Linked DNA regions of Macaca fascicularis. The protein of the gene in region 1 interacts with the protein of each later gene in a pairwise test. Links are inferred from orthologs where the notes say so. Each region holds a gene or a part of one and is shown on either strand. Other genes may lie near its edges.

What was found.
Region 2: the proteins of POC5 (region 1) and CETN1 interact in binary tests that used the Homo sapiens proteins (3 or more experiments, as listed by UniProt). The link is inferred for Macaca fascicularis from reciprocal best matches to the Homo sapiens genes POC5 and CETN1.

Annotation. Positions count from the first base shown.
Region 1 is NC_088380.1:79,687,732-79,692,887, forward strand, and holds part of POC5 (centrosomal protein POC5), read right to left. Parts: intron 1,933-5,156; coding exon 1,756-1,932; intron 1,276-1,755; coding exon of another isoform or gene 1,246-1,275; exon of another isoform or gene 1-1,245. UniProt on the Homo sapiens protein: Essential for the assembly of the distal half of centrioles, required for centriole elongation. Acts as a negative regulator of centriole elongation.
Region 2 is NC_088392.1:69,236,582-69,241,092, reverse strand, and holds CETN1 (centrin-1), read right to left. Parts: upstream 3,306-4,511; 5' UTR 3,139-3,305; coding exon 2,620-3,138; 3' UTR 1,432-2,619; downstream 1-1,431. UniProt on the Homo sapiens protein: Plays a fundamental role in microtubule-organizing center structure and function. Plays a role in sperm cilia formation.

The DNA of each region.
Region 1 (5,156 bases):
CTCTATACATTTTCTACATCTGAAAAAACAGAAATGCATTCATTTCTTCTCATTTTTGGTAACTTGTCTTCCATATTCAAAAATATATAGAAAAGTCTTCTATGAACTTTCAGAGTCTGTCCAACTTATGAAACATGAAACCTAAGATAATCCTAAAATAAATCCTCCGTCATCTCCATGTGTCTCTCTGGACTTGGTGCTTCTATCTCCAGCATTCCACCTCGCTAAGGTCCCACTTCACCTGAAGTTCAGTTCAAATCAATCCAGCTTGTCTTCATTTAATCATCTAGTGACCAGCTAGTACTCAGGAAAAAAGGATTTAAAATCATTCCACGTACTTTTGTTTTTGCTAATACTTAGTAAGTACATAGGAATGTTGTCCAATGCTGAGAATTCATAGAGGGCATTCTCTCTCTCTTTTTTTTTTTCTCTGCCACAATATTTTTAATTACGTACAAAGGTCTGACATGTCACCCAGGGACCCATTTCACCCACTGCTCTGTTTGGCTGCCAGTCTTTTGTCTCTCCCTTCAGCAATGGTGAGGCGGATACCCTTTCCTCGGGGAAGAGAAATCCATGGTTTGTTGCCCTTGCCAATAACAAAAATGTTGGAAAGTCGAGTGGCAAAGCTGTTGCCATTGGCATCTTTCATGTGAACAACGTCAAAAGATCCAGGGTGCCTCTCTCTGTTGGTGGTCACACCAGTTCTTCCCAGGTTAGCACCTCCAGTCACCATACACAGGTTACCAGTGTCGAACTTGACGAAATCAGTAATCTTGCCAGCCTCCAAATCAATCTGAATGGTATCATTCACCTTGATGAGGGGATCGGGGTAGCGGATGGTGCAGGCATCATGAGTCACCAGATGAGGGATTCCTTTTGTGCCCACAAAGATCTTTCTCACTCTGCATAACTTGTACTTGGCCTCCTCAGGTGTAATACGATGTACAGCAAAGCGACCCTTGGTGTCAGATCAGACAGAAATTCTCTCCCGTCTTGTCAATGCTGATGACATCCATGAATCCAGCAGGCTGGGTTATATCAGTTCGGACCTTGCCATTGATCTTAATGAACCGCTGCATGCAAATCTTTTTTACTTCATCTCCTGTCAGGGCATACTTAAGTCTGTTCCTTAGGAAAATGATGAGGGGGAGACACTCAACTTGTGGGGACCGGTGGATGGACGAGGAGCAAACACACCACTCAATTTATCCAGTATCCAATGCTTTGGAGCTGCTACCCGCTTCAGATGCTTCTTGGGACCACGAGCCATGGCTGCGTTAGGCAAGGAAAGAGTGGGCATTCTCTTTTAAAATCAGTCCCTGAAATTAGCTGGCTGTGGTGGCGGGCACCTGTAATCCCACCCACTCGGGAGGCTGAGGCAGGAGAATTGTTTGAACCAGTGAGTGAAAAATTTTTGTCTCTTTTTAAACGGATAATAAATCCTTTACATATTTTACTCTTTTGACCACAAACACACTGGATTACTTTTAGTATTTTATAATTTTTACAGTTTGGAAGAAACGATGTTTCTGAAATTAATTTCCCAACAGCAGAAAGGTAGATTTATAGCAGGTTGGAGAAATACAAGTATAAAAACAAACAAACAAACAAAAAAACTGTATCAGGAAAAGGCAGAACAAGTACCAGTCATCATAAATTCTTATCTTCTCAACATGTTATGTAAGTGTTTACTAGTCTGTGAACTCTCAGGAAAAAGACTTTTTGACAAAAGGTCATCAAATGTGGACTCACCACTGTGACTGGATGATGTTTTTCCACAACAACTGAGCTCATGGGAGGAGAAACTCCCATTATAGCTAAACCGCTGCTAATTCTATTTTTTGAAGCAAAATCACATCTTCCTGTGATCCGGGCTGTAATAGTTCTTCCTGCTTTCTGTTGTGCAGAGGTTACAACTCTTGGCACATACTAAGAAGAAAAAAAAAAAATAAAAGAAGTAATGAGGTGGCAGAAAATCCACAGCAAAACTTCTATTAATTTGATTCCATAAATTACGAAGAAAACACACAGGCACTTAAAATAATTGTACGTTCAACCAACTTTAACATGGAAAAAATCAAACAAAATCACAAGACAAAATGCAAAGCACAAAACCGAACACCCCAAAATATCCCTTTAACCTGAGTATGCCAACAATTTTATAAGATTTTAGAAACTTAAAACATCAACTTTTTATTTTGAAATAATGATAGATTTACAGGAAGACACAGGGATCATATTGAAAAGTACTGTGTGCTCTTTACCCAGTTTCTTGCCATGGTTACATCTGACATAATCAGAATATAACAAAGTCAAAACCAGGAAGCTCAACATGACATAATGCCTGTATATAGATCTCTGTCATTTTATCACCTAAGTTCCCATTAACTATCACTCAATCAAGATACAGAATACTCATCACCACGAAGATCTCCCTCGGGCCACTCTTGACAGTCATACCCATCTCTCCGTTCCTTCCCCAACCATCCTTAAGCCCCGGCAACCATTAATCTGTTTTATGGACTTTTTCATCCTTAAGCATAATTAATATTATCATTACACATATGTTTCTGTGTTCTGCCTTTTTTCCATCTCATTTTATCAATATATTTTTTTCATGAGGTAATACAGAGACCTGCTATAGTTCTTAATGAGATGGTTTTTATACCAACGAACTACTTTGTCTTTCTTTTTCTATTACATTTAGCACATTTTGCAAAAGAAAAATCCTCTTTTTAGTTACTTCTGTATAATATATTGCAAACAATGGAACGATCATATCAAAAAGTATTATCAGCTTTTATAGCTTTTGTTGCTTACTGCTGGATGATACTCCAGAAAAATATTTACAGCAAGAATAACACATAAGTGGACTATTTTTGCACTGTCAATCAATTACACACCTGCTCGTTTAAGTCTGAGGTGAAATCTACTATTCAATTTGTGGTTCCTTATTAATGTTTCATATTTGTATTCCATTTTGTCAACTATCCATCTTATTTGCTAAGAATTGAAAGGATATTAATATTTAAATTTTTAAAAATAGTTCCTGATGAATAGTAAACTCATTTAATAATTATAGATACTTATCTAAAAGTGTAAACAATTTCCTCATTTCATTTATTTGTCTTAATCTTCAATGCACATCCATTTTTTTAAGTTGTGGTTAATCCTGTCATTAATTTCCTCTTGCTTCCATGATGAAACCAAAATCAGCTTTGGACAGCTGAGGTAGTTATACTCTCACAACATTTACTTATTTTGGCTTAACTTATTAAAACATTTGAAATTTCAGTGTGAAGTATTAATCTAAATTCATTTTTTCTCTAAACAGTTTTTCCAAAGGCATTTATTAAGTATCAATGTTTTCCCGATTATTATAGTTCATCTGTGATTCTCCATATTCTGTGTGTAGCTAGATTCTGCACCTAGCTACACATAGTCACAGCTATACATTGAAATGGGAAGAGAGTGGGCTTCAGGAGAGATGTCTCGGGGATAATTAAAAAGACGGAGTATTGATGTTTTTGGAAGACCCTACGGAAAACAGCATTCAGTAGGGTTCCGTAATCCCTGGAGAGTTCGGAAATAATTCACTACAGTTGGAGAGAAAACCGAAGATAAAAATGAAGCAATTAATTCTAAAACAAAACATTATACCAGAAAGGAAATGTAGTCATAGTATACATTCATGGCTTAGCTATATTAGTCATCATAAATGATTTAATCTGAAATTGGAATATCTGTAACTAAATATTTACATACAGGGAGGATGAGGAAAGTGAAGAGAGAGAGAAGGAATAAGGTGGCATAAGGAGGCCAAGTCCTTTTTATCTGTAATAAGTTAACAGATATTTGAAATTAAGAAATGTAGAAATAATGATATAGACATATTATTTAGGAAAAAATGGAAACAGAAGAAATAGCTGACAGAGTTAGGGAGAGGGATTTAGAAGACTGTTTCTCACTACAGTCCTTGTAAAAATGATTTGGCTTTTTAAACCATAAACTTCTATGGATCTTATGAATTTGATAAACTAAAAATCTCAGATTTAAAAATATTTACAAATATGTTTTTGTGGACTAAATTCATGCTTCTGGCCTGAGGGGAACTTTATCTTATTACTTATTACAATAAGGGACAAAAAATATTTTACAAACTCCTAAAGATGCTTAAATGCTATTTTAAAATACAAAACTAATTGCTGGCAGGAATATTCTTTGCCAAAATGTGGAAAATGAAGTACAACTGAGTTTGTAACTTTCCTCCTGCCCAATCACACTTGAGGGGTGTCCTCTCAGTAGCCGTGATTCTCTCCTGGAGCTTCAGGTGTGAATGAAAGACTAGAGAAATCGGGACTAAAGAAAATTAGAGTAGTGGGAAAATTGCTCATAGATGATAAATTTCATTCAACTCAGCTCAGAATTGCTTTAGAATGCCTTCAGTAATTTGAAAATATATACTCCTGTAAATAAAATGACTTCTAAAAGAAATCTCTACGCGCTCATTTGAATTAAACAGAAGTTGTCTTAAATGCATGTTTACTGTCGGCTGCTTGTTTTCAGATGGTTTGCCATTTGTACTTGTTAATGTTTATTTAAGGTATTAAAAATTGTGTAAATTGATAAAAAAGTTTTGAAAATGTATAAGAACATTTTAGAAATAATTCATAAAGATAAATTATTAGAAAAAAGTTGCTACTAAATCAGGGGGAGGAAAGAAAAACCTAGAAGGATTCTATAATCAGATTGTTCGGGAAGTTTTGTTAGGTTCATGCTTTACAGAAACTGTAACTGGAGAACACAGAAAATATATTGGGTGTAGTTTATATTAAAAAAAAGATGAAAATTACAATCTTTGACCCCCACATTCAATCTGGCTCCACATTAAAAACTAGTAAATTAATACATATTTATGTTTTAAGATACAATAATGTATTAGATATGTATCATTCTCTGCAAATTAAATGACCGCTTACTGGTACCAATCATGTTGGAGTTCATTAAATTTATCAGCCGACTTTAAAAAATGCTATAAAAATAAAAATTCTAGCATTTTAAGCCACATCAACATAAGCAACAAAATTGAAAGGAGTAAGAAAAAAAGAAAATGACAGGCCAGGCGCAGTGACTCACGCCTGTAATGCCAGTAC
Region 2 (4,511 bases), on another chromosome or scaffold:
AGTGACTGACAGTCAATGAGAAGTTTTAAAGGCCCAAATTCCTCGTCCCAATTTGGAATGCCTTGGGACCAGCCAATCTCTCTCTCTCTCTTTTTTTTTTTTTTTTTTTTTGAAAGAGTCTTGCTCTGTCAACCAGGCTGGAGTACAGTGGCATGATTTTGGCTCACTGCAACCTCTGATCACCAGGTTCAAGCCATTGTCCTGCCTCAGCCTCCCACGTAGCTGGGATTACAGGAGGGCACCACCACGCCCTGCTAATTTTTGTAATTTGAGTAGAAACAGGGTTTTACGATGTTACCCGGGCTGGTCTCCAACTCCTGATCTCAAGTGATCCACCTGCCTTGGCCTCCCACAGTGCTGGGATTACAGGCGTGAGCCACTGCACCTGGCCAGTTCTTCCCAATCTTTATAGCCGTGTTTCCTCATCTGCAAATAGTTGTCTGCAGATTTCCATTGAATTTTTTTGTGTTCTACTTTTGTAAAGACTAAGAGACATGGCTGGCCCAGCCAATGTATGATTAACTTATCTTAAAATTTAAATGCCAGTTTAGGCTTGTTCCAGTAGACCCTCCTCCCCTTGTCCCCATATTCTCTAGAGTATGAGCCTATTGAGAGGCAGGAGAATGCACTATTCAGTGAATTGAGAGGTTCTTCCCTGGCAGTGAGTGGGATTCAGAAATATTCTGGAGCCCCCTTTCCTTGTTTGGAATGGACCATGCCCTCAGGCCACCCCTGTAAGGCCTGAGGTGTGTGGCCAGCCCGACCGCTGGGCTTCAGCCTGGGTTCCTGGTTTTCTCTTCTATCATCTGCTGGGCCAGTAGCCAAGACTGAGCCCAGTCCAGTTGGCTGAGACTCTGCTTCTCCTAGTTTCTGCCAACTTTCTTTGTTTCTGGTATTTCTACTTTTAATTCATACGTTGATCCTTGGGCCAAGACTCTGGTCAACAGGATACCAGGAACTCATGCTTCCCAGAATACCCCTTCCTCCCCCCGCCCTCAGATCAGGCCCTTCATACTGATGTTGGCCCAAGTTGTACCTGTTCCCATCCTGACTGCACCTGAGTCCACACTAAGACCTTGAACCTGAACCATTAGCATCTTGCAGCCTGGGTGAGTTCCCCTGCCCTGTGCCAGGCACCTCAGCAAAATCCTCACAGTGAATACTTCCATACCCATCACTTCAGCTAGTACTGCCCCTTTGACAAATTAGTCCCTGTTAATGAGAATTAAGTCCAGGGTAGTTTGTTCCCCTGATTAGATCCACACCCTCTGAAGGGTAAAATTGCTGGCAAAGCAAGTGAAATGTTCCCAGAATTTGAGCATTTATCTTAATGGGGCTTTGTATGAGGATTTAATTTAGGTTTAGTTGTGACCAAAATATCCTGCCTTTTTGTTTTGTTGCCTATTATTAAAACACTAGTCAAAGCCTCCATCTCAGCAGATCTATTTATTTTCCCACAATTACATTTAAAAATTTTTCTTTACCTTCAGATTTGTAGATATTCAAAATGATAGCTATCTTACTCCAAAGCAAGAAAGAATTTATAACAGAAAACAAGCAGTATTAACACATAAACAAGCCACAGTGGAACAGTTTACTGGGATTTGTAAAGTAGAGCACTACTTAAACGCCAGACACTCTAACATCAACTATATGTCAGAGGGGCTAAAAGTCAAGTACCAAGAAACAAGATGTTCTAAGGATTGGCGGGGAGAAAGTGTCTTATAATCAAGCAGTAATGAGATGACTAAGGTTTTAATAGTCTGATATCTAAGATATTTGTTGATATTTCCAAGGACTGTAAGTAGCTTAAAATGTTATATTAAGGTATTCCCTACAATTTCCTAAACTAAGATCCTACATTTGTAGATATTTACTCAAAATCATTTGTTAGCATAACCTCTTAAGCAAATTATACTTTGCTTGGGCCAGTATTAGATTTTATTTTTATTCTGTAGCCCAGGTATACATACTAGCCCTAGATAAATGCACGGTGGACAATTTACACACAAACGAAGAATCATTTGCACGTATGAAGCCAGTGAATAGTCTAAATTGCACAACGTACTACCACCCAAGCAAGCCTATTCTTTAAAAGATTATCTGTCCTGAGCTCAGTAAGTTTGTAAGTGGCCACTCTGTTTTCCTTCAAACTGGTATTCAGCTAAGTGGACAGGCTAGGCAAATCTACTGGCAGATTCCATCTCATTATGCTGGAACAATGACTGGAATTTAAGGAATGATATATGAAGCAAGATAATTTAAGACCACCAAAGAAGTGACAAAGGGAATCACATTTTTGTGTGTCCCAGAAGTTGTCCTGCCTCCAGCTCAACGGATGTCTCTGCAAGTTCAGCACAGGGCAAATGGAGGGCGCACTCAAACTTCAGGGCCCTTTGTTTAACCTTATGTGCTCCAGGTAGGCTCTTGAGAATTAAAAACCAAAACTCACATTACAAGCATCTTTCAAATTCTATAATTGAACTAGAGATATGGAAATAGATCTAGACAAATTATGGGGGTGAGGGGGTGAAGAAGGGACAGGCAACCGCGGTCCTCTAAGGTTTCACAAAATGGAAGCGGGGAACCCAGAGAGTCACTTTAGCTTCTGAACCGACTTCAGTAAAGGTTGGTCTTCTTCATGATCCGAAGGAACTCCTCCTCATTCACTTCGCCGTCCCCGTCCCGATCAGCTTCGTCGATCATCTCCTGCAGCTCCTCATCCGTGAGGTTTTCCCCCAGCTCGTTGGCCACGCGCTTCAGGTTTTTGAACGAGATCTTCCCGGTCTCATCGTCATCAAAGAGCCTGAAGGCCTTCAGGATTTCTTCTTTGGTGTCCTTCTCGGACATCTTCTGAGTCATCACGGCCAGGAAGTCATTGAAGCTGATCTTCCCCGTGCCTTCCTTGTCCACCTCGGAGATCATCTTCTTCATCTCTTCCTTCCTGGGTTCGAAGCCCAGAGCTCTCATGGCCACCTTCAGCTCCTTCACGTCGATGGTCCCGCTTCCGTCCGCGTCAAAGAGGTCAAACGCTTCCCGAACTTCTTGCTTCTGATCTTCAGTGAGCTCGGGCTTAGGCGCCAACTTTCTCTTTTGGCTGGTGGGGGCGGCGCTGGGCTTCTTGAAGCTGGAAGCCATTCTCCCGCCTCGGCTGTGATCCCAACGGCGCCGCCCCGCGCTCGCGCTCCGGCGCCCCCAGCTGGCGCGGCGCGGGGCCACCCGTAGTTCACCGCCAACCCCTAAGTCCGTTGGGGGTTGGAGCGGGCCTGAGGAGACTCTTCCTACGCCCCCACATCTGCGAGATCCTGTTCACGCGAGAATCCGCAGTTCCCTCGGTATTACCCAGTTTCCACGAGTTGACGCCTGAGCTGGAAAACAGCTTGTAGCCGCCGTGGTCTTCCGTAATTGACTGGAGCTGGCAGTTCTTTCCAAGATATTTGCTAGCATCCATAAGACCCCAGTTTTATAGTTTTATAGGTTTATTTAGAGCCTCTGTCTCTCTCTCTCTTTTGACAGGAGTGTACTGGTGCCACTCGGCTTACTGCAGCCTCCACCTTCCAGGATCAAGTGATCCTCCCACCTCAGCCTCCATAGTAGCTGAGACTACAGGGCATGCCACTACACCCTGCTAAATTAAAAAAAATCTTTTTTTTTTTTTGTAGAGACAAAATCTCACTATGTTGCCCAGGCTGGTCTGAAACTCCTGGGCTCAAGGGATCTTCCTGCCCCAGCCTTCCAAAGTGCTGGAATTATAAGCATGAGCCACCAAGCCTGGCCTCTCCTTTTGATATTAATTTAAAAACCCTCTTGTTCTGGCTGCAACACACAATGGGGTGATAGAGCCTAAGGGTAAATTTAGGATAATCAAGATTGAGTGTGATCACTTGACATTCAATGTGGGGAAGGAGAAGGAAGAGAGAATATTAAAAGTCATACCATGTGTTCAACTTGACATAAATGGGAAACAGAGAAAATGGAAAAATTTATGTATAAAATTTGTAGAAGTTTGTCTCCTGACATTACACTCAACAATCATAAAATGTTTCTGGAATGTTCTCACATATGAAATGTAATATCCAAATGTATGATTTACTTTCAGTGTTTCCATTTTACATACTCAGTATAATTACACTTGAATGATGGTCATAATTTCATTCACAAGGCTTTTGATTTGGAGGGAGGAAATTTGAAATACTACATTCTGGTATTCTAGTTTTTTTTTTTTTTTTTTTTCTCTAACCCCCTAGCAGCATATTACTCTCCTTGCTTATCATCCAATCAGAGCTGTGCTGAAACCCACGCTCTGGTAGCCTTCCTTTGGCAGTGGGCACAGGAGATGATGCAGGACATGTTGGGACTCAAAATTGCCTCCTGGGAATAAAGGGGTTCTCCTACAAACCAAAGAGTAAGAGAAAAATGGAAAAGAAAGAAAAAAATTACCAAATAAGCCCACCAAGGAATTACCTGTAGAATTACTTTGTATTTCTTTAAATGGTTACAGAAAAGAAAGC